2 linked regions of the Rattus norvegicus genome follow. The protein of the gene in region 2 interacts with the protein of the main gene of each other region in a pairwise test. Links are inferred from orthologs where the notes say so. Each region holds a gene or a part of one and is shown on either strand. Other genes may lie near its edges.

Region 1 (10,801 bases), on a different chromosome or scaffold from region 2:
CCATCCTGACCACCCATACCACCCTGGAACACTCGGACTGTGCCTTCATGGTGGACAACGAGGCCATTTATGACATCTGTCGCCGTAACCTGGATATTGAGCGCCCAACCTATACCAACCTCAACCGCCTCATCAGCCAAATTGTCTCCTCCATCACAGCTTCCTTGCGCTTTGATGGGGCCCTCAATGTGGACCTGACAGAGTTCCAGACCAACCTGGTACCCTACCCTCGCATCCACTTCCCCTTGGCTACCTACGCACCAGTCATTTCTGCAGAGAAGGCCTACCATGAGCAGCTGTCAGTGGCAGAGATCACCAATGCCTGTTTTGAGCCTGCCAACCAGATGGTGAAATGTGACCCTCGGCATGGCAAGTACATGGCCTGCTGCCTGCTGTACCGGGGAGATGTGGTGCCCAAGGATGTGAACGCTGCCATCGCTGCCATCAAGACGAAGCGCAGCATCCAGTTTGTGGACTGGTGCCCCACAGGCTTCAAGGTCGGTATCAACTACCAGCCTCCCACCGTGGTGCCTGGGGGCGACCTGGCCAAGGTGCAGCGTGCAGTGTGCATGCTGAGCAACACAACCGCCATTGCTGAAGCCTGGGCCCGCCTGGACCACAAGTTTGACTTGATGTATGCCAAGAGGGCTTTTGTACACTGGTATGTGGGTGAGGGAATGGAGGAGGGGGAGTTCTCCGAGGCTCGAGAGGATATGGCTGCCCTGGAGAAAGATTATGAGGAAGTAGGCATCGACTCCTATGAGGACGAGGATGAGGGAGAAGAATAGACAGCTACTTGGAGCCCTGTTCACTGTGTTTATTGCAAAATCCTTTCGAAATAAACAGTCTCCTTGCATGGTTTCTTGTCCCCTTTGTAACTGCTTGAGCTTCTGCTTGTCCCCCTCTTTCTGCTTTGGCTGCTACCTCCTGTTACTTGCTGCTTGTGACCTTTTATTTTACCTTTACATGGCTGAAGGTGAGACTTGCCAAAGGGTCCCACATTGAGCCTCAGAAAGTATGAACCTAAGGACTTCGATGTAAGGTCCTAAGGACGCTCAGGATAGGAAAGAAACAAGGACCAAATCCTGGACCTGTCTGTCCAGCTACAAGCTATTACAAGATACAAGTCTTCACTTTTTGAAATAGGAACTGATGTCTGAGTGTCTGTGTTGGATGGTTGGACTACTTTACTCTTGCTGCTGCTTCCTTCAACAGCTCTAGAAGCAAGGCTTGGCCCAGGCTTCGTTGAACACTGAGGATTTGGGAATAGGGGCTGTGCGGGCCCAAAGTTCCTGGGCATACAGCCACCTCACAAACTTGGGGGATGGGCAGGAACAAGGGCAACCTCCTAGTTGTTTGTGCCAGGGCACCTCTGGCAGCTTTGCATAGCTTGCTGTCTATCTCGCTTTCTGGGGCTGGAGCTACGCTATTAAAAGTCAGGTCTCTCCCCTCTGTTTGTGCTTTCTTTTGGCCTCAGCCTCTGCTCAGGGCGGAAGCCTCCTTCCTGGACCCTAGGGATAAATTATACTTCACTAATAGGCACCCTAGGACTTGTGTTGACGTCAGCATGTAGGGGTGGACATGGCTTGGGGGAGGAAGCTTCAAAATCTCCAGAACAGGAGCATCAACCTTTCTCTTGCCTCCCCTCCCTGGTGATTCAGGGAAGCAGTGCCCTTCCCTGAGGAACAGGTTTAAAACCCAGCTAAGGCAAGGTGCCTGTTTACTCAGCAAATAGGGCAGGAAGTGGCTGCTGGATACTGCCACAGGCCACCAGCCTCATCAATTATTAACCATGTGTGAGCTAGAATAGTCAGGGAGACTGGAAAAAATGGCTGCCAGCTCCACTCCCTTTGTCCTCTGCTGAAGAAGGGAAAAGACCTGGTGTGTTTCCACCCAGAGGTCATGGACTTGGCAAACCTGCCAAGCTGGGCTGTTCTAAGCTACCATCCTGGGAATGAACGACAGAACTAGTCGAGTGTGCTTTCAAAGGGACCCTGGTCCCACTTCTTGGCACAGACAGAAACCAGCTCAAGCTGGAGGCTCTGGTTCTGACCAAGGCAAGCTAAAGACCTGCCTGCTGTCAAGCAGGCAGAACTCAAGTAACTCTGCCTCAAGACACCACACCAGTACTTCCTGTCAGGAGATACCCTTGGAAATGGCAACCAGAGTTCATTCTTTCCCTCTAGACACATTGACCTAAAATACACACAGACTGTTTTCACTTTATTCTACTTTTTATGTATTCTCCTGCTGCCAGATCTGGAGGCAGAACATGATGTGCGCCCAGCAGCCCAGCTTTGAGCCATATTTTCTGTTTCATCCCCCCCACCCCCAACTCACCCTAGGCTCCTTGCCCAGGTATTGGGATAAGAGCAGAATATACAAGGACCCACCATCCTTGCCCCTAATGGTGAGACCCATCTTGTGTAGATCAGAAGTTCCAATGAGGCATGAGAGCTGATTCAAGGTCATCTTCCCAATATGCTCACTGATTTGATCAGATTTGGGTGGTGTGCTGGCCAGGAGCTGGTGGCTGCAATGCCTCCAATTGACTGAGGAGGACAGGGATGTGAGGGCGTTGCTGGGGGTCCACAGTCATCATAGAGGCCAACAGCTGTCGCAATGCTGAAGAATGCCTGTGGGATGGGGAAGGCAGAGGACTGGAGGACACCTAGAACTGCTAGGATTCCAACTCGGCTGGCTCTAGGCCAAGTCTACAATGCTCAGTGTCCTCTTACTCCTCACCTGGGGCTTTGTGGGATGCTGAGGTCATTCTGCACAGCAAGGGCCACACTGTCACCTTTCTGGAACACCATATCATAAGGGCCTTCCCCAAACATCATTGCATAAAGCACACAGCCTAGGGACTGAGCATAATTTGGTTAGTTCCTGGAAGGTGAAAAATGGCATCTCTCTCCTTATTGCTATGGTAAAAGGAGACCATGTAAGCTAAAAATATGCCAACCTCGCTCCAAGGAACCATGTTAGCAGGAAGGAGGTCTGTGTGCCCCTGCTTAGCCAGTGCCTCTAGCAGTTCAGCCACAGTGATTGCACAGCTTCCTGAGAACAGTGTCAGTGATGGTTCCCAGGAAGGAAGTGGACGGGTATGGAGACATACTGTGGCTCTGGGGTTCCATGCAACAGAAACCAAGTCTCCTTCCCTTTAATCCAAAATAGTTACAAAGCCACACCCCTCTCCACCCAGGTTCCCACCCACATGCTCCTCACCCAGACATCAGTCCGCTCATCGATGACACAGTGGCTTTGCACAGAAAAAAGTTCAGGTGCCCGGTAGGAGATGGTGCACCGCTGGGCTGCCCAGTCCTGGAACAGTGTCCCCAGAGCTCAAAAGTGGAGCACAAGCCATATCATGTGACCAAATTGGTGCATGCATCAGAATGGTCTGGGGATGGGGAGGAGATGGCCAAAGAAACCTGGGGACTCTCTTACCTGTAGAGCTAGGGCCTGGCGAGATCCCTCCACTTGGATGCATGCTTGATTCATAGAACCCAAGTCCATTAAAACCGGCTGCCCCTCATCACCAAGCAAAATATTGGTGGGCTTCAGGTCCCTGGAGGGAAGTGAAAATGACCCAAAGGCATCCTGGGTAGGTAGGCTGGTATCCCAGGGAGCACCATGAAGAGAGTGCAGAGAAACCCCACTTCTCTTGGCATTGCTCTTTCCCCTGGCTTCAATAAGTGTAGGGCCCGCCCACTGACCTGTGTGCATAACCTTTGGCATGAATGGCCTCAAGGCCTCTGCAGATACCCAGCAACAACGGAAGGATTTGGTCTTCAGTCAGGAAGTTGCCTTGGTCCTTCAGCCTTTCTATCTCATTCCACAGTGTACCTCTCTACAACACAAGTTTTCCGTGTTGAGACATTCTGAAGCTTCCATTTCCCAGGATTCTATTTTGTGTTGAAGTCTGTCAACCCTTTTACCACATACACTCTCACTGATCATTTGGGGCTATGTGTGATGTCAAGTTCATAGGGGATCCTATGGTTCTCTGAGCCCCAAATATAAAGTGGCCAAAACCAGGGTGTGTGTTCCTAGGGTATTTATATTTGACTGCCCACAGAGCCCTTGGTGGGGTTGTACAATGCTACAATCCCCTCTATAACCACAAGCTTTTCTGACCTTGAAGAAGGGTAGCAGCAGCCAGGCTTCATGCTTAGCACCTCGTTCTTTCAAAGAGTAAGCCATGAGGCGAAGGATGTTTGGATGCTGGAAGAGGCGATGCATGTCTGCCTCTCGTTGGGCCTCTTCCTGGTCCTGCTGCTCATGACACAGGATTCGCTTCAGGGCGTAGAAGTGTCCATCATGTAAGCCCTCCACTAGGTCCACGTAGCTGAACCCACTGTGGGCCAAAGGGGTCGATGAAGGACCACGGTCGTCTCCCATATGGCTTAGACCCCGAGAAATTCCCTTAGGGAAGGGTGCCTCTCACATGGAGTAGAAACCCTCCCACGATGTAGTTCTCATATAGTTTCAAGACGTTAAGGTCTGCCATCTTCAAGAGCAGGGGCACAGAAATCACTGAGACCCTTTGGTCTGAGCATAAGATGCTCAATTAATTTCAAGTAACAATCAAAATTTAGTAAGTGCTCATGAGCCAGGCACTGGGTGACATGTTTTAAAGAATATACTATCTAACTTAGTTTTCTCACCAGTCCCTCAGTGAGACATTATAATCATCTCCGTTTAAGCAGAAGAAACCAGTTTACTTAAGGTCACACAAAGTAGATTCAGGAGGCCAGGGCCTAGAATACAATTCTTGACCTATTCAGCTAACCGGTCAGGTGAGGTAGAATCTAAGGCTAATACTCTTGTGTCCCTATTACTGCCCCTAAATGACCTGGGTCTAGCTAAGTGACTTCCATACACTCACCCCTCCCCCAATTTCTGGACGAAGAGGTAACGCTTATTGTCAATGATGACAGTTCCCCGGGAACAGACACACAGTGCATGGCCCATAGCGTCTCAGTCATCCTCTTCAAGGATGGTCTTTCTTCCAGGGAGAGTGGGCTCTTCCAGACGATGGGTTGGGGTCCCGGCGGATCATGCTGGAATGAAAACAGCAGGTCGCGGGTAAAGAACAATCCAGACAGCCACTGAGATACCAACCAGTAGAGCTCAGGTTCACCTCCGAGAACCCAGATTCACATCTAAAGAAAACAGTCCCTGGTGACTCCAGCTCTAAGAAGGCTGAGTTCTGGCACCCCAAAGCCTCAGGCCACGCTGTGTCTTACCAGGCCGCTTCCTTCAACCCCGGCCCACCTTCGGCCAGGTCCAGCTCTCACACCCGTGAGGCATGGGGTGGCGCAGTAGGTGCGGGACTCGAGCCCACCTCTGGCCGAGTCCACCCTCCGTCGCTGAGGACCGAGCACAGGATCTGCCAATACAAACTCTTCAGTGACCTGGCTCCTGCCTGTGCAAAGGGCCAGGGACCGGAAGCTACGGTGACATCATCAGTCCGCGTCGAAGTAACGGCCTGCTGTATCCTAGCAACAAGAGGCGGCAAGAGGATGTGGGGACCCGGAAGTGAGAGGCCGGGGCCGGGCTAGACCTGGGGTGGGTTGGTTTCTATATCTCGCCGAGGGTTCCCACTTGCCCTTCAGTAAGGGTCAAGACGCAGGGACTTGTACCAAAGGGGAGCAAAGCAGGGCTCTGCCCGAGTCCCCTAGGACCTCCGTCTCTCAATGTCGGAGGTAGGAGGCCTTATAGCTCCCGCGCGCTGGAGTTAGAAAGTGACTTATTACAATCTAGCTTTGAGGAGGGACCAGAGAAAGGCGGGTGCTGACCCTTAGATCCCTGGAGGTCTGACCCCTTAATACTTTTAGGGGTCTGGCCTGTGTTCCACTACCTGGCCAGTGTCAGAGTGTGCCCTTGAACTAGATGCCAGTTTCTAAATCTGGTCCTAACAGTCTCCTAGCTTTGTCACCTCCAGGAATTAGTCTTTCAGATCCGCATGTTTCCCAGCTGTAAGTCAGTACCTACAGCAAAGTGTTGTGAATTATGAGGCCAAAGTGACTAGTTCAATCCCAGCTCTACTGAACTAGTTGTGACTTTGGACAGTCACGTAATATTTCCAACCTTCATTTTCCTCGTGTGTAAGATGAGAATGAAAATCATTTCATGGGCTGTTTCAAAACTAAATGAGATGTCTTTTGTACAGTTTTTGAAACATAGCCTTCAGTGTGTGTTAATAAACAGAAATTATAGTATTTTCTACCCTGACCCTGAAATCCACTGGTGTGAAGGCAGAAGAAATGGAAAATTAGACTTCTAAGCTTATGCAGTTTTCGTCACATCTCCTGCCTAGACAGACAGGTATATATTGGAAAGGGGTGCGCCTTAAAAATAAGAGTGACCAGAACAGGCTCCTTGTAACCCATTTCCCCTTTTCATAGTCATGATCACCATGAAGATTTTCTGGTTTCCACTGTTTCTGAATCCGTTTTGACCCTACTGCTACCATTCATATAGATTTAGCCTGATTTGTGCCAGATCCTTTGCTAGTCATGAGGACATAAGACGCCGTTCCCGCCCTCCGAGAGTTCAGCGTAGAAGAGCAAGCTTGTTAAAGTACAGACTTTAATTCTACAGGTCTGGGGTAGGACCCGAGATTCTGCGTTTCTAACTAGCTCCCAGGTGATGCTAATGGAGTTGATTCGGGTTCAGCACTTCGAGAAGTAATATATAGAGGATTTTACAAACTAGTGGATGGTGGAAGGCTACGGGCAGAGTCCGGGTTAACTGGCCTGAAAACTTGAGGTGGTCTCCGCCCCTTTGCTTGATGAGGTTCCCTCCCAGGAATCCGACACGTGACGGGTGGGAAAGCCCTCACTGAATAGAAGAACTTTGTAAGGTCCGAAGATGCCACCCGACCTGCCTTCCCTGCTCCTGCGGCTTGTGATTCTGCTGCTGCTGTCCCAGGTAAACCGAGAGGGTCAGACTGCCTGTCTGGGTGTGGGGAGGGAAAAACAGAAAACAGTGGAGAAATAGCTAACTACTGACAAGGCCAGTTTTATCTCTTAAGCACTTGGCAGACACTGACCCTTACTCCCGACCACTCGAGCCAGACTTTTGCCCTTCCAGGCAGAAGCTCGCTCCTTCGTAGTGGATCGGCAACATGACAGATTCCTCCTGGACGGGGTCCCGTTCCGCTATATTTCTGGCAGCCTGCACTACTTTCGCGTACCGCGGGTTCTTTGGGCCGATCGACTTCTCAAGATGAAATTGAGCGGCCTCAACGCTGTGCAATTGTAAGAAGTGCTCGCGAGAGCTTTGTGAAAGCGAGGTTTACTCTTCTTTAAAATTGGGGGGGGGGGGTTCCCCAGGAAACTGACTGGGTTTGTAAAGGGTTTGAGCTCCAGGACCCCTCAGGCAAGGGTGAGAAAGGGCGGCCCAGAACCTCTTTCTAGCTGCATCTCTGCAAGTTCTGAGTTTCCTAGGGAAACTCTAGGTCTTATTAACATCTTCGTTTCTCAGTTATGTGCCCTGGAACTACCATGAGCCAGAACCTGGGATCTATAACTTTAATGGCAGCCGGGACCTCACTGCCTTTCTGAATGAGGCAGCTAAAGCAAACCTGTTGGTCATTCTGAGACCAGGACCTTACATCTGTGCTGAGTGGGAGATGGTGAGTTAGTTGGAAAAGAGCAGAACCAGAGGTGATGTTCCTGTGGGTTTCAACTCTTTTCTGCCCACACTCTAGGGGCCATTTCCAGTGCTATACTTAATCCCCTCCCTTCTTGCCTCCCCCACTGTACCTCAAAGCAAAACTTGTCTCAACTTGTCTCAAGCTCAAGAAGAGATGGCTTATCCTGTAATCCCAGAATTTAGGTTGGGACAGACTGAAGCTAGCCTGGACTACAGAGTGAAACCCTGTATCAAATCAGAAACAAACCCTCCTAGCTACTCATGTGTTGCCTTTATGTTTTCCTTAAGGGAGGTCTCCCATCTTGGTTGCTTCGAAACCGTGATATTCATCTGAGAACCTCAGATCCTGGTGAGTTGAGACAACAAAATGAATGCCTGAACAAGAGGCCACCCCTCATTTAGAGGTCATACATTTATTCTTTCCTTCACATCTAGCAGGATGCTAGAAACTGAGAACTCAAAGACCTAGTCCTGTGCAAAATAAAACAGAGTAGTGTGAGCTGCAGAGCAGGCAAGTGATGCACGCCTATAATCCCAGTGCTTATAAGGTAGACATGGGAGGATCAGGAGTTTAAGATCATCCTCCACTATGTAGGAAGTTGGAAGCCAGCTTGGACTAAAGAGAAGTTGAATAACATGAAAGGAAAAAACAGAGTGGGAAAAACAGTTGTTTTTCAAAACTATAAATAAGATCATATACTGTACAAAAGCTACATAAATAAGGAGTTGAAATAATGAATAATGAGAAGTATTGAGGGTAGTGAAAAGAGACTTTCTGAGAAGGTTAACATTTTAGTTGGCTTTTGTGAAAGAGAAAGCACTGATCGAGTGACAAATGTGGCAGAAACATGGCGGGATGGAGGCAAGTAGAACAGCATGCCTGGAGCAGTAGTCAGGGAGGCAGGACTGTGACTGGGAACTTAAGCTGAGATGATTATGCAAATGGTAGAGGCCCTTGCAGTTCTGTGATGGGGCTTTGTGATTTATTCCAATTACAGAAGAAAACCACTGGAAAATGTCCCCAGAATTATGGCACAGCTGGATTTGCTTTAATATCACTTCAGCCTGGGTGCAACTGGGTTAAAGAGAACAAGAGTGAAGGAGTGAATGGGTTCTTATGGTAGATGATCGACGGTGACGGTGCTCAAGTGCAGGGATAGTAGTGGGAGGGAAAAGAGGAAGACGGAAGAGACAGAGTGTAACAAGACTTGTGGATACACTTTTATTTGACGAGACTGCCAGATGTGGGCCATGGGTAGAAAAAGAGTCAATTTTCTGACCAGTCAAGTCTGTTCTTAGACATATCTCTTTCCTAATTTTCTTTTCTGAGTAATTTGGTTCATTTGTGTGGTAGATTTGACCTGCATTGACCCCAAAATATGTATCTCTCTCCTAGGACCTTTACCATGGCTTCTCCACACATGCCAAACTCCTGTGCTGTTTCTCTATTTAGATAAATAATAACAGATACTGACGTGCCGGTATGGCCTTTCAAAGCAACTATTTGCTTCTAGAGTTTTCCCATCCCAGCACTCTAAATACTGCAGTGTAACCCGTCACACCTCTCCTCTCACTCCACACTCTTTCCTGTCACCCTCCATTCAGTCTGTCAGTGTTGAATTTAACTATTTCTGGTCACTTACACTGCCGCCTACTGGTACAGACCTCCCCTGCTGACATCTTAACTGCACCCTCATTGCTCTTCCTAGTTGGCCTTTCCTCACATGGAGTCTATTCTTAGTCTAGCAACTTGTGGGCTTCTATGAAAACAGTTTAAAACGTCCATCTCCAGTCAAGTCATTCAAGATGAGCCACATACTCAGCCTCCCAGGCCATAGGCCTGGCTCCCTGGTGTCCGCTGCTGCTTGCTTCCTTGGCCCCCTCCATACTGCCCTTGTTGCTGTTCTGCATACTTTCCCGCCTCAGTGTCAGGCATTGCATATGGTGCTTCCACAGGACCTCTGCAGAAATCACCTTCCGTGATAACTTCCAGCCACCATCTAAGGTTTTTTTTTTTCTTTTAAAGAGATTTATTTATTTATTATGTATACATTGTTCTGCCTGCGTGTACACCAGCAGGTCAGAAGAGGGCATCAGATCTCATTACAGATGGTTGTGAGCCACCATGTGGTTGCTGGGAATTGAACTCAGGACCTCTGGAAGAGCAGTCAGTGCTCTTAACCACTGAGCCATCTCTCCAGCCCCACCATCTAGGTTTTAAGCATTCCATACCGAAACTATCGTATGCCTCCTTTCCTGCCTTGTTCTTCTTGCCCCTAACACACTTTGTAGTTTTCTCATATATTTATTGTCTGCCTCCACTCGAGAAAGAACCCACAGGGCAAAGATTGCTTCTGCCTGCTGTCCCTTCTATACATCTAGGACAGTGCTTGAAGCAGAGTCACAGACACCCCATGCATATTTTTTGAGTGAATAAATGTGGTTTCATATGTGCTTAGATGGGTCTCTTTGATGTAAACATAGGAAGAAAAAATAATTCAATGATTTTAGATTTTTTTACAAAATGAGCTGGGCATGGTGGTATACGTAATGCCCTCGGGTAGCAGAGTCAAGCAAACTTCTTTGAGTTTAAGGCCAACCTGTGTATACAGGAAGTTCTAGGCCAGCCAGGGCTACAAACCTTTTCTTTTCCAAACAAAAAGGAAGTAATACTTATGAGATGGGTCAACAGGCAGAAGTACTTGCTTCCAAACCTAACGACCTGAGTTTGATGCCCTTGGATTCCTGTGGTGAAGGGGGAGAACCGACTTCTGCAAGTTGTCTTTGACCTCTGCAAACCTGCCGTGGCTTGAATGCATACACACACTAAATAAATGTAATTTAAAGCTTCTTTTAAGAATTTAAGAATGAGCCAGACATGCCTTCAATACCAGCACTCAGGAGCAGAGGCAGGCAGATCTCTGTGAGTTTGAGGCCAGCCTGGTGTACAAAGCAAGTCCAGGACAGCCAGGGCTACACAGCGAAACAAACAAATAATTCAAAACTGGCCAGAAGGTGGTAGCATACACTCCAATCCCAGCACTCTATTGGCAGAGGCAAGCGATCTCTTGAGTTCTAGGTCAAACTGATCTACAGTGATTTCCAAGACAGCCAGGGCCACATGGAGAAACTCTGT
Region 2 (10,876 bases):
CACTCTAGTGCTGGGGAAGAACTGAGGGCCTACTGAGTGGAGCTGCCATGGAGCTGTGATGTCAGCCCCAAAGAGGTTTTGAAGCCAAACACCTCAGTGCTGAAGGCAGCATAAGGACCCACGTCCAAGATGCCCCACACCTCCGCCAGCCTCCCTAACTTCCCCTTGCCAGCACACTGGAGTCCCTGACCCCAGCCCTGCAGGAACTGTTCTTGTTTAATGGATAAGGAAATCAAAGCCAGGCAGGAGAGAGCAGTACTGGGACTCACCCCCTAACCAACTACTCCTTAGAACTGCCTGTAGCATGTTCACTAGGAATATGGACCATCTCTGACTTCTGCCGTGACCCCTGCTTCCTAGGACAGGGCTCTGAGAGAGGAGGCAGGGCAGCTCCCACTTAAGTGATTTGAGGCATTCTATTTTAGATAAGTCAGTTGGGTCTGAATAGAGAAGCACCTTACCCTAATGTAGAAGTCCCCCTGTGTGTTCCCAGCACGGATCTGAAAGGCATTGTAGGCGCCAGGGTAGACAGAGGTTGCCTGGATCTGAAACACGTCGGCAGGCACACTTCGCTCTGAGGTGATGCTCATGTAGCGGTGCACGATGGATGACGGTTGCTCTCGACAAAGGGGGTTGGAGGCAGGACAGAGGCAGCGGCTAGAGACCCCAACACGAAACAGCAGTGAGGGCTAGGCCCATTCCCCAATACCTACTTCCTAAAGAGGAAAACCCGACTCATTCCCATGAGATGTCATGGGTACTCACCAGCCTGACTAAACCAGTTAGCCCCACAGACCTCTGGAAATTGTAGTTACCACAGCAAACTGCCACCAGGTTGACTCACTTGTCCGACACTTGGACATAGGGCTCCACACAACGGTTGGTGTCCACACAGCGGTAACCCCCATGGAAGTTGACGCAGGTTTGGGCCTCCGAACACTGGTGTGCACCTGTTTCGCACTCGTCAATGTCTGTGCCAAGGGAGGTGGAATTGGACTCTAGGACTGACAGTAAGCTGCCAGCCTCTCAACTCCTGCCCACCCAAGCACCTGTACCTTGGCAGAGCCTTGTGGCCAGCAGTTGGTAGCCTTGTGGGCAGTGACAGGAGAAGCGACCTGGCTCATTGACACAGCGGTACTGGCAGAGGTAACTGGAGTAGCTGCACTCATCGATATCTGAGGGAGGGTGGGGATGAGGACCCTGGGCCGAGGGTAGTCCTCACAACCAAGTCCCACAGACCTTTACCGAGAGAGCCCAGCCCCCCCATAAGGCTGGATGTGGGAAGAGAGAGGGAGTGAAGTAAACCCATAATGCTCAAAAGGGGGACTGAAGGTTTCAGAGGAAGGTTAGAGGGCTGGGGATATAGCTCGGTGGTAGAGTACTTGCCTAACACGCTTGAAGCTCTAGGTTCCATCCCAGCAAGGAAAGGGAGAGGAAAAAGAAAAGACAAAGAATAGAAAGGTTTGAAGCTTGGCATGGTGCTATAGTCTACAATCCCAGCATTTGCGAGGTAGAGGCAGGAGGATTATACCAAGTTCAAGGTCAGCCTGATCCACATGGGGAGCCCCACCAGGATTATATTAAGATCAAAACCAGCCAGGACTACATAACAAGATGGATCGTGCCTTGAAAAGCAAACAATGGGGTGTCTGATCACAACATCTGGGAGGCAGAGGCGGAAGCAAGCAGGTCAGTGTGAGGCAGCCTGGTCTACATAAGAGACTCCAGGCCAGCCAGGGCTACACAATGAGACCCTGTCTCAAAACAACAGCAGACCTTCAAGCATATAGAGCACCTCTCTCCCAGGACTTTAAGAATACGGAACAAAGCACTAGCCTAACATGGTGGCCTGTGCCTCTGATTCTAGCACGACTCAGCAGATCTCTGTAGGCTAGCCTGATCTATACAGAGAGCTTTACAACAGCCACGGTAATATAGGCTCTGTCTTAAAAAGCAACACCAGTCTAGAGGCTTGGGGGTACCACATTGAGCCACGTTGGTCCACGTTGAGCCAGTTAAATGAGTAGGTTAGACTAGAGGTGTCCTGAGGGGCTAACCTGCTCTATTCTTTTCTGTAAGTCTTGCGATTTGCAGTCAGAATGCCCAGATTGGCTGAGCGTGTGACCCACATGCAGCATCCTATCTGTCTGCTCTTGCTCCTTTCACACCGCTAAACACCAATGATGCTGTGCCTCACAGAGCACACAACAATGAGGGTGTGCCGGGTGACATGCTGAGATGCCTGGGGTAAGCCCAAGCCCCGCCTCATCCTTCCCATCTGAACTTGGACAGGTCACTTCATCTCTGTAAGGGGAAAGATGAAAGTCACCACTGTCTCTCAACGTTCTGCTTACTTTCTACAGTTCCACCAACACACCTTTAATGTTCTGTTTACAAAAGTAAATCATCACTGACCAGATAAAACGAGACTGAAAATTTAAGTTATAAACGCATGGCACCTACTTTTTCTGCCTGAGACTTGATGAAGCCTGTCAGTCACTGTCCCTAACTCTCCAAATAGCCCATCTGCCTTAGAAATGTGCCCAGGAAGAAGAGACTTTCCTAGTGCAGGATTCCAATGCAAGTCAACTCAACTTTCAGGAAGACGGGCACCTCCATCCCTCTCTGTCTCTCCAGCAAGCTTCAGAAGCACCTATCGTACCAACCCCCCAAGCTGGGAGTGCCAAACAACCAGCTCAAGATGGAGTTCATGAAGGCCTGCGGGTGCAGAGAGCGAGACATCGAAGCCTCAAACAAATGACTGTGTGACTGGAGTTGGTCCAATACGTTGCAAGTGCGGGGGGGGGGGGGTACCAATGCAGTATCCAGTAGCACAAGTGGACTCTCACCACTGCAGGAGAAGCCATCCCGGTGTAGCTCATAGCCCTGGTTACAGCGACACAGGAAGGTCCCATAGGAGTTGAAGCAGCGCTGCTCACACGGGGCTCCCATGTCACACTCGTTCACATCTGAGGGTGCAAGGACAAACACCCACTCGACTTGGGCTCAGGAAGGAGATCCTGCCCCTACCTCACCCATCTCTACCCAGGATCCCAGAACCTGGTCTGGCACAGCCTCACCCACACAAGAGCGGTTGTTAGGTCCCAACTGGAAGCCGGGCTCACACTGGCATCGGAAAGAGCCTGGCAGGTTCACGCATCGGTGCTGGCAGTAGCGGTAGCGACACTCATCTATGTCTGAGATGGGAGGCAGGAGACGGAAAGTAGAACACAAGCTAGGTGGGGCCTGAGCCAGCTCACCTCAGCACCCACGTTCACCCCTGCCTTTGTCGGGGAGCTGAGTTGAGTCGCCCACATGTCTAGTGGGTCTGGTGACAGGAGTGCACCAGCAGCAGAGGGCTGGGGTGACGTAAGGTATTAGATCAAGAAGCAGACCAAGGTCACAGAGCAGGAACTTAGGAAAGCCACCGAACTCACCTACACATTCGGGCCCAATTTTTCGGTAACCATCGGGGCAGGTGCACTGATAGGAGCCAGGAAGGTTATGGCAGTCCTGGCTAGGGCGACAGTCATGTATAGCCTGGGTACACTCATCCACATCTGTGGGAGACACCATTCAGCCTTTGCCTGGAGTCCCCCATATGCTAAGGACCGTGTGAGGAGGGGGCCCATGCACATGGGTAGTTGGCATCAAATCATGAACATTTAATTGAGATCATCCCAATAGTCCAAAAAAGAGTCCACCAAGGAATTACCAGGAAAAGTACCCATTAGGAGAACATACTAAAATAGGGTCTTGTGGGAACTGGTGGCACACACCTTCAATTCCACCACTGCGGGGGAAGAGAGGCAAGAGGACCTCTGTGAGTGCCAAGCTAGTTGTAGCTAGGGCTACAGAGTGAGACACTGTCTTAAAAATAAATACATAAGTAAACAGACAAATAAAGCCCTGTCCATTTATACCCCGCAGCTGACTGCAGGGCCAGGATCTCTCCTCCTCCCAGACCTGACTCCAGATCAAAAAGCTGGCAGAGGCTGGGAGCAGAGCTCTCACATGTCTGTCCAGGAACTGAGGCTGCTAGGGACATCCTGGGCCTGCAGACCATGCACTGAGCCTGCAGTAGATGAAAACTTGGATATTTCTCTGAGCAGCCAGACGGAAGGAGCATGAGGTCTGGGGTATTAAATAGGGAAAATTACTTTATTATTTTGTTAATTAATTGTTTTGAGGTAAGATCTCGGGCAGCCTCAGGTGGTCCTCAAAAGTTCTTACGCAGCTGAGGATAACCTGTACTTTCGGATCTTTTTGCTCTCTCCCCACTGGTGGGTTACAGGTGTGCGCTACCACACTTGTTTTTTGTGTTTTTTTTGTGGTGCCAGGAATCAAATCCAGAAACGATCTCAAAACCCAAAGTACATAGCTGGATGGTGGGGTACAGAGGCAGGTGGATCTCTGAGTCTGAGTTCTAGGATGGCCAAGGCTACACAGAGAAACCCTCTCTCAAAAATCAAAAACAAAGAAACAAACTAAGGAGGACTAAAATAACTCTACTGGAGGATTAAAAGAAACAAGAATGATATATGCCGAGATGGCACCATGATAAAACACATTACTTTGAACAGTAAATACAAAGTTAGTGTTTTTTTCTATTCTTTTTTTTTTTTTTTTTTTTTTTTGGAAGCTGGGGATCGAACCCAGGGCCTTGAGCTTGCTAGGCAAGCGCTCTACACTGAGCCAAATCCCCAACCCCCAAAGTTAGTTTTTTTTAAAAAAAGTTTATAAAAGGCCTGGAAGCCTAGGTGCCAGCATGGCCCCCACTTACCCACACAGCTCTCCTGTTCATCAGGTTCATAGCCCGGAGGGCAAGGATTTGGGTGTTGAGCAGAGGCTGCTGGTGGTGGAGGTCCTTCACTGTGGAGATCACTGATGACGGCAGCAGAGCGAGGCAGACACAAATAGCCCCCGTAGTGGTTGATGCATTTCATTTCACCCTTGCAAGCCTCGGGGATGGTCAGGCACTCATTGACATCTGCAGAGAGGGGCCTGCTGGGCACAGCCAGTCACCTGGGCTGGCCCTGGAGGTAGTGGGAGGCAGAAGCCCAACTTGGCCTTCTCTAAACTGAGCAACACAGCAAGGCTTTCTCTCTGCTCAGCAAAGGCTGCCGACCCAGAACCCCTCCCAGGCATTTGCAGGACTGGGTGTGTGGCCCCCTATTTCACACTGTTACCCCCATTCTCCTGCCTCCATGTGAGTTTCCGTTTCTCTTCAAATCCCTGCCTCTACCTTTGCCCAAGAGTAATTTGCAGGCCTCCTGACCCACAGAGCTTGTACTGCCCTCCCAGGGTGCACTGGGATAGAGCTGGGCTGGGAGAGTGCAGTGCAGTTCAGGGAAGGTGTACGTATTTCCTTCTTTCTGGGCAATAGCCAGGTGCTCTCTTGCCTCCTGCAGGACAGAGGCAGAGTTTGTTCACCCTCTTGAAGGGGTAGGGCTCCTAATTGAGTGGCACAAGAGAAGCATGGCTGCCTACCAGATGGCTGGCTACCAGGGTGGACAGTGGGAAGGCCATCAAGTTCCTGCTGCAGCTCTGGGAGATAAGGTGTCCCTGGGAAACAGAAGTAATCCCCTTCCCAGTTCCTGAAGATGGCTAGTACCCCAGACATACTCACCCCGGCAATGCTGGCTGTCTGCATCCCACTCATAGCCATCTGTGCATTCCTGGAAGGGAACCCGATGTGGCCAGTGACCACCCTGGCTGTCTCCTCCAACTAGCCAGGCCAAGACCAGGGCTTGAGCTCAGTCATGCTCAGGTCAGCTCCACACAATGGCCTCCAGCTTTCCACCAACCAAGCAGGGGAGAATCATTCCCAGAAGCAGCCTCCCCAGGATCCTGCCTCACTCGCTGTCCTTCCCATCCCATCCCAAGCTGGTGACCCCAAGGTCCCCACCGTGTAGCTGTCCGGCTCTTCGGAATCCTGTGGGGACGCTGCTCCCAAGAGCAACAGCAGAAACGCCCAGAGCAGTAAAGACCCGGGGAGGCAGGAGGCAAATGGGAGCATCCTGGGGCTGAGAGGGGGTGGGCAGAAGTCAGGGGTTTCTGCCACGACACCCCCCATTCCCTCCATCTGGAAGGGGAGGCTGGGTCCCAGCTATCTCGTCCCAGGACTGTTCTGGGAGCACCGAAACCTTCCAGGGCTGGGGACCGAGTCCCTTCGCAGGCCTGGGGCTCAGGGCCGCAATCTTGGACCGCCCCGCCCCCGCCCCACGAGTCATGAAGCGCAGGCCTCTCCGCTCCGCGCAGCATATACTCGGCCGCAACACGGCCCGCGCCCTCCCTCCGCTGGAGGCCACTCACGCGTTGACTCCAGCAGTGCCTGCGGGCGGACGGACGGACCGCGCAGCTCACTGGACGCGCGGCCCCAGGAAGCGCCCCCCGCCCGCCCGCCGCGGCCCACCCCGGCGCCTCCGCCCGCCCTTCGGCGGATTCCTGAGCCCGCGCCAGGGGGAGGGACCCCGACCCCCCGGCTTCTCCGCCCCGGCCGGCCACAGGCCCCCACCCGGTCCCCCGCGGCGCTGCCTGGAGTCGCCTGTGGACGCCTAGTCAGTTTCCCAATGTTTGGGTCCTTAGACCATTGACCTTGATGCTTGGCACCCAAACTCACCTGGGGACCCCAGGCCCTCACTCAAAATGATTATTCTGTCCACCTAAACCCTATCTAACCTGTGCCTCCGGAATCCCTCTGTGCACTCGCACCTCCGTGTAACCGGATTCTGCGCTTCCCAGAACCTAACAAACATTTATTTAATCCTCAGATCTCCAAATGCTACCACTTTCAGGATTTTATCCAGTGTTACACTCTTAGATGGTCCTAAAACTTCATCCAAGGTTTCCTGATCCTCGTCCAGGCATACAATTAATTGTCCAATTCCCTCTGTATCCACCTCCACCACCCCCAGGTGGTCTCTTTACTCAGGGCACTGCTTCCCCAAGCCCTGCCTGCGCAACGCTACAATAGTATGGGGGCGAGGGCAGCAGTAGTCTTGGCCCGAAATGAATGGAAGCCCCTGAGAAGGCGGGCAAGCTTGAACTTGGTCGCGGAGGACACTAGGGCCCAGTGCCAGCCCTTTCCCGACCCTCTTCCCATCCAAGTCCCCCACCCAGTTTCCGCCTCCGCCCCCAGCGGAGATCATGCCTTGGAGGCGGAGTCTGGGTGCCTCTGGCGCCCAGGAAGGGGTAAATGGGCGGGACTTCGCGTTGCCCACGTCTCAGGGCGGGTCTAGACGGGAAAGGGTTGCGTGTCCAGGGCTCCCGTGCTTGGCCCAGACCGCTAGCGGCAATAACCCGGCCTTCCTTCCTTCCTTTCCCTTTCCCAACCTCTTTCCATCTTTTTTTGTTTGTTTTTGTTTTGTCTTTTTGCGACAGAGTCTCAAACTGTAGCTCTGACTGTTCTGAAACTCACTAAGTAGATGAGGCTTCGAACTCACAAAGATCTGCCTGTCTCTGCCTCCTAGGTTCTGGGATGAAAGGCGTGCACTACCATGTTCCGCTCTGCTGTGACGGAAATAAAAATTCTGCTTCATTTCATTTAATTGTCTGAGTGGTAATGTGTGTGGTATGTGCGTGTGTGCCTATGTACTAATGGAGACTATCGCTCTCCACCCTAAGACAGTGTTTGTCAAAAAAAAAAAAAAAAAAAAAAAAAAAAAGACAGGGTTTGTCACTGAGTCTGGAACTTACTATTTTAGATAGATTGGTTGGCTGGCTAGTGTGCTCTCAGTCCCCACCTCCCTGACCCTCTAGGGGTTACAGACATGCATCACCACTACAGCTGGTCTTTATGGTAGAGCTGGGGATCAGAACCCAGACCCTCATGCTGTGTAGCAAGCATTTTACCCAGTAAGCCATCTCCTCAACTTCCATTATCTTGATTAGAAAATTTGTATTGGGGTTGGGGATTTAGCTCAGTGGTAGAGCGCTTTAGCAAGCGCAAAGCCCTGGGTTCAGTCCTCAGCTCTGGAAAAAAAAATTTTTTTTATTAACTTTTAAAGATGCATATGTGTGTGCATCTGTGTAGAGGTATGTACACCCGAGTGCAGGTGTGCACAGAGTGTGGATCTGGAGTTACAGGAAGTTGTTAGCTGCCTGACGTGGGAACCAATCTCAGGTCGTCTGGAAGAGGAATACTAGAGTCATTTCTACAACACTGACTTTTTTTTTTTTAAACAATAAAGGGTTAGGGGTGTAGCTCAGTAGCATCCTGCTTGCTTGGCATTACCAAGATCCAAAGTTTAATCCCAGTAACTCCTGACACACTAGAGTGTCTGTACATGAGTGTGTGTATGTGTGAATGTACGTGACTGTATGTGAATGTATGTGTATGACTGTGTGAATGTATGTGTGAGTGTGTAAATGTGTGTAAATATGTGTGAATGTCTGTATATGTGTGAAAGTATGTAAGTGTGTGAAAATGTATGAGTGTGCATGAGTGTGAATGTGTGTTGGAATTCTGATGTAGAACAAAGCCCACAGAGGCAAAAAAAAGTATGGGGAGCAGATGAAGTCCTGAGCAAACATGGATCCCATTAATATAGGACCCAACCACTCGGACCTGTGGGAAGGGCAAGGCCTTCTCCAAGTCAGGCTCAGAGAACTGCCAAGGCCTTCCATGAGCACAGATGCTGACAGTGTGTGTATTTTGAAAGCCCAGATGACTGCAGCCTGAGACTGCTTCCCTGCAGAGATCCCCTAAGGAGATTAGCTAACTCTGTTCTTCCAGCTCCTATAATAAATCAGCTGAGTTTCCAGGCTGCTGATGTCTCCCTCAGAACACACGGCCCACCAGATCCCTGGATTTTCTTCATGCCTGTCTGTTCTTTCTCCATTCCCCATTGCCCAATCAAGCCAATCTCAAAGCCTGATTGGGGGAGGGAGGGTGGAGGGAGGGAGGGAGGGAGATGAGAGGAGAGAGAGAGAGAGAGAGAGAGAGAGAGAGAGAGAGAGAGAGAGAGAGAGAGAGAGAAACACAAGGGGAAAAGTGTCCCTGACCTAGTGGCACATGGCTTTAATCCCAGAACCTGAGGCAGGTGGATCTCTGAGTTTGAGACCAGATTGGTCTCCATAGAGAATTCCAGCTACATTGAGAGACACTGTTTCAAATATACATATAATCCTTGGGTTTTTTTTGGGGGGGGGTCTTGGTGTTTGAGATAGGGTTTCTTTACATACCCTGGCTGTCCTGGAACTCTCTCTATAGACCACACTATTCTCCAAATCAGAGATCCAACTGCTTCTGCTTCTTAAGTGCTAGGACTAAAGGTGCGCACCACCACACTGGCTTACATCCATTATTTTCTTAAGAGGTGAGTTGCAGCTGCGCAGTGGGGGCTTACATCGTTTATCTCCGCCTGAAAGAGGCAGAGGCAGGTGGATCTCTGTGAATTTGAGTCCAGCCTGGTCTACATAGTGAGTTCCAGGACAGCTAGAGCTACACAGTGAGACCCTGTCTTGAAAACAAGAAGACAAGAAACAAACAAACAAAAAAACCACAAAGGTGGGCTGGAGAGAAGGCTCAGCGGTTAAGAGCACCCGACTGCTCTTCCAGAGGTCCTGAGTTCAATTCCCAGCAACCACATAGTGGCTCACAACCATCAGTAGAGAGATCCGATGCCCTCTTCTGGTGTGTCTGAAGACAGCTACAGTGTACTTATATATAATAAATGAAAAAACCACGGGGCTGGGGATTTAGCTCAGTGGTAGAGCGCTTACCTAGGAAACACAAGGCCCTGGGTTCGGTCCCCAGCTCCGAAAAAAAGAACCAAAACAAAAAAAAAAACCAAAAAAACCACAAAGGTAAATTGCATAGTAAGCAACTTACATCTCAGTTAATCTGTTGTTGCTGTTTGAAACAGGATCTCATATAGACCAGGCTAGTCTGGAACTTTTTTTTTTTAAAGATCTATTTATTTATTATATATGAGTACACTGTTGCTGTCCTCAGACACACCAGAAGAGGGCATCAGATCTCATTACAGATGGTTGTGAGCCACTATGTGGTTGTTGAGATTTGAACTCAGGGGTTGGGGATTTAGCTCAGCGGTAGAGCGCTTGCCTAGGAAGCGCAAGGCCCTGGGTTCGGTCCCCAGCTCCAAAAAAAAAAAGAAAGAAAAAAAGAGATTTGAACTCAGGACCTCTGGAAGAGCAGTCAGTGCTCTTAGCCACTGAGCCATCTCTCCAGCCAAGTCTGGAACATTTTAAGAAACCAGGCTAGTCTTGAACTTCTGGCCAGCCTCTCCTCTCAGTCTCCTAGGTGCTAGAATTACAGGCGTGAGCCACCATAACCAACTATTAAGATGTTAATGACGTGAAGTAAAACTCCTGATGATCAAGATCTAACCATCCCAGACACTTGCAGGGATACACTGCAATCTTGCCAAGCCAGAGATGGGATTCCATTGCTACTCCCTTCACAGATGGGAAGGCTGAGAGATTGGGAAGCAACCAAATGGGAAGCTTCCCAGGGATGATGCCAATCCAGGGAAGTTAGGTAAAGTCACCAGGGTGGCAGAGGTCAGAGGAGGCTGTCAGGAAGGCAGGGGCAGGATGACTTGAGCTTACTGGTACAAAATTGGAAGTTCCTGCTCAAGTTTGAGTCCTCCACTGTGTTTCTGAGTCCTCTCTGTCTGGATCTTGGTGCTGTAAGTGACAACAGCAGCTCTGAGTGGTGGTGTGGGACTTGAAGAGCCTGGCCAGGTATTCATTCATGGCTCCTTCTTGTTCTTCATGGGAACAAGGTTCAGTCTTAGAATAGCAGGATCTGAGTTCTAACTTTGTTCTCATTATGTTGGTGACACCTGGGACAAATTGTAGAGTGTTCTCTTTCCTCAAAGACAGTGAGGTTCCTGGACTCACAGCCCGG

What was found.
Region 1: the proteins of Efemp2 (region 2) and Stk16 interact in binary tests that used the Homo sapiens proteins (3 or more experiments, as listed by UniProt). The two-hybrid records come from large-scale screens. The link is inferred for Rattus norvegicus from reciprocal best matches to the Homo sapiens genes EFEMP2 and STK16.

What each region holds. Positions count from the first base shown.
Region 1 is NC_086027.1:84,148,931-84,159,731, reverse strand, and holds Stk16 (serine/threonine-protein kinase 16), read right to left. Parts: upstream 5,448-10,801; 5' UTR 5,253-5,447; intron 5,067-5,252; 5' UTR 4,978-5,066; coding exon 4,892-4,977; intron 4,361-4,891; coding exon 4,141-4,360; intron 3,854-4,140; coding exon 3,720-3,853; intron 3,572-3,719; coding exon 3,451-3,571; intron 3,325-3,450; coding exon 3,229-3,324; intron 2,868-3,228; coding exon 2,746-2,867; intron 2,637-2,745; coding exon 2,498-2,636; 3' UTR 2,216-2,497; downstream 1-2,215. Other genes in the region: Tuba4a (tubulin alpha-4A chain), read left to right, coding at 1-788; Glb1l (beta-galactosidase-1-like protein precursor), read left to right, coding at 6,880-6,939, 7,102-7,268, 7,495-7,645, 7,954-8,014. UniProt on the Homo sapiens protein: Membrane-associated protein kinase that phosphorylates on serine and threonine residues. In vitro substrates include DRG1, ENO1 and EIF4EBP1. Also autophosphorylates. May be involved in secretory vesicle trafficking or intracellular signaling.
Region 2 is NC_086019.1:212,207,258-212,218,133, reverse strand, and holds the start of Efemp2 (EGF-containing fibulin-like extracellular matrix protein 2 isoform 1 precursor), read right to left. Parts: upstream 6,413-10,876; 5' UTR 6,316-6,412; exon of another isoform or gene 6,086-6,315; coding exon of another isoform or gene 6,020-6,085; coding exon 5,909-6,019; intron 5,679-5,908; coding exon 5,630-5,678; intron 4,991-5,629; coding exon 4,784-4,990; intron 3,561-4,783; coding exon 3,438-3,560; intron 3,198-3,437; coding exon 3,081-3,197; intron 2,970-3,080; coding exon 2,850-2,969; intron 1,404-2,849; coding exon of another isoform or gene 1,387-1,403; intron 1,176-1,386; coding exon 1,056-1,175; intron 972-1,055; coding exon 845-971; intron 658-844; coding exon 462-657; intron 1-461. UniProt on the Homo sapiens protein: Plays a crucial role in elastic fiber formation in tissue, and in the formation of ultrastructural connections between elastic laminae and smooth muscle cells in the aorta, therefore participates in terminal differentiation and maturation of smooth muscle cell (SMC) and in the mechanical properties and wall integrity maintenance of the aorta.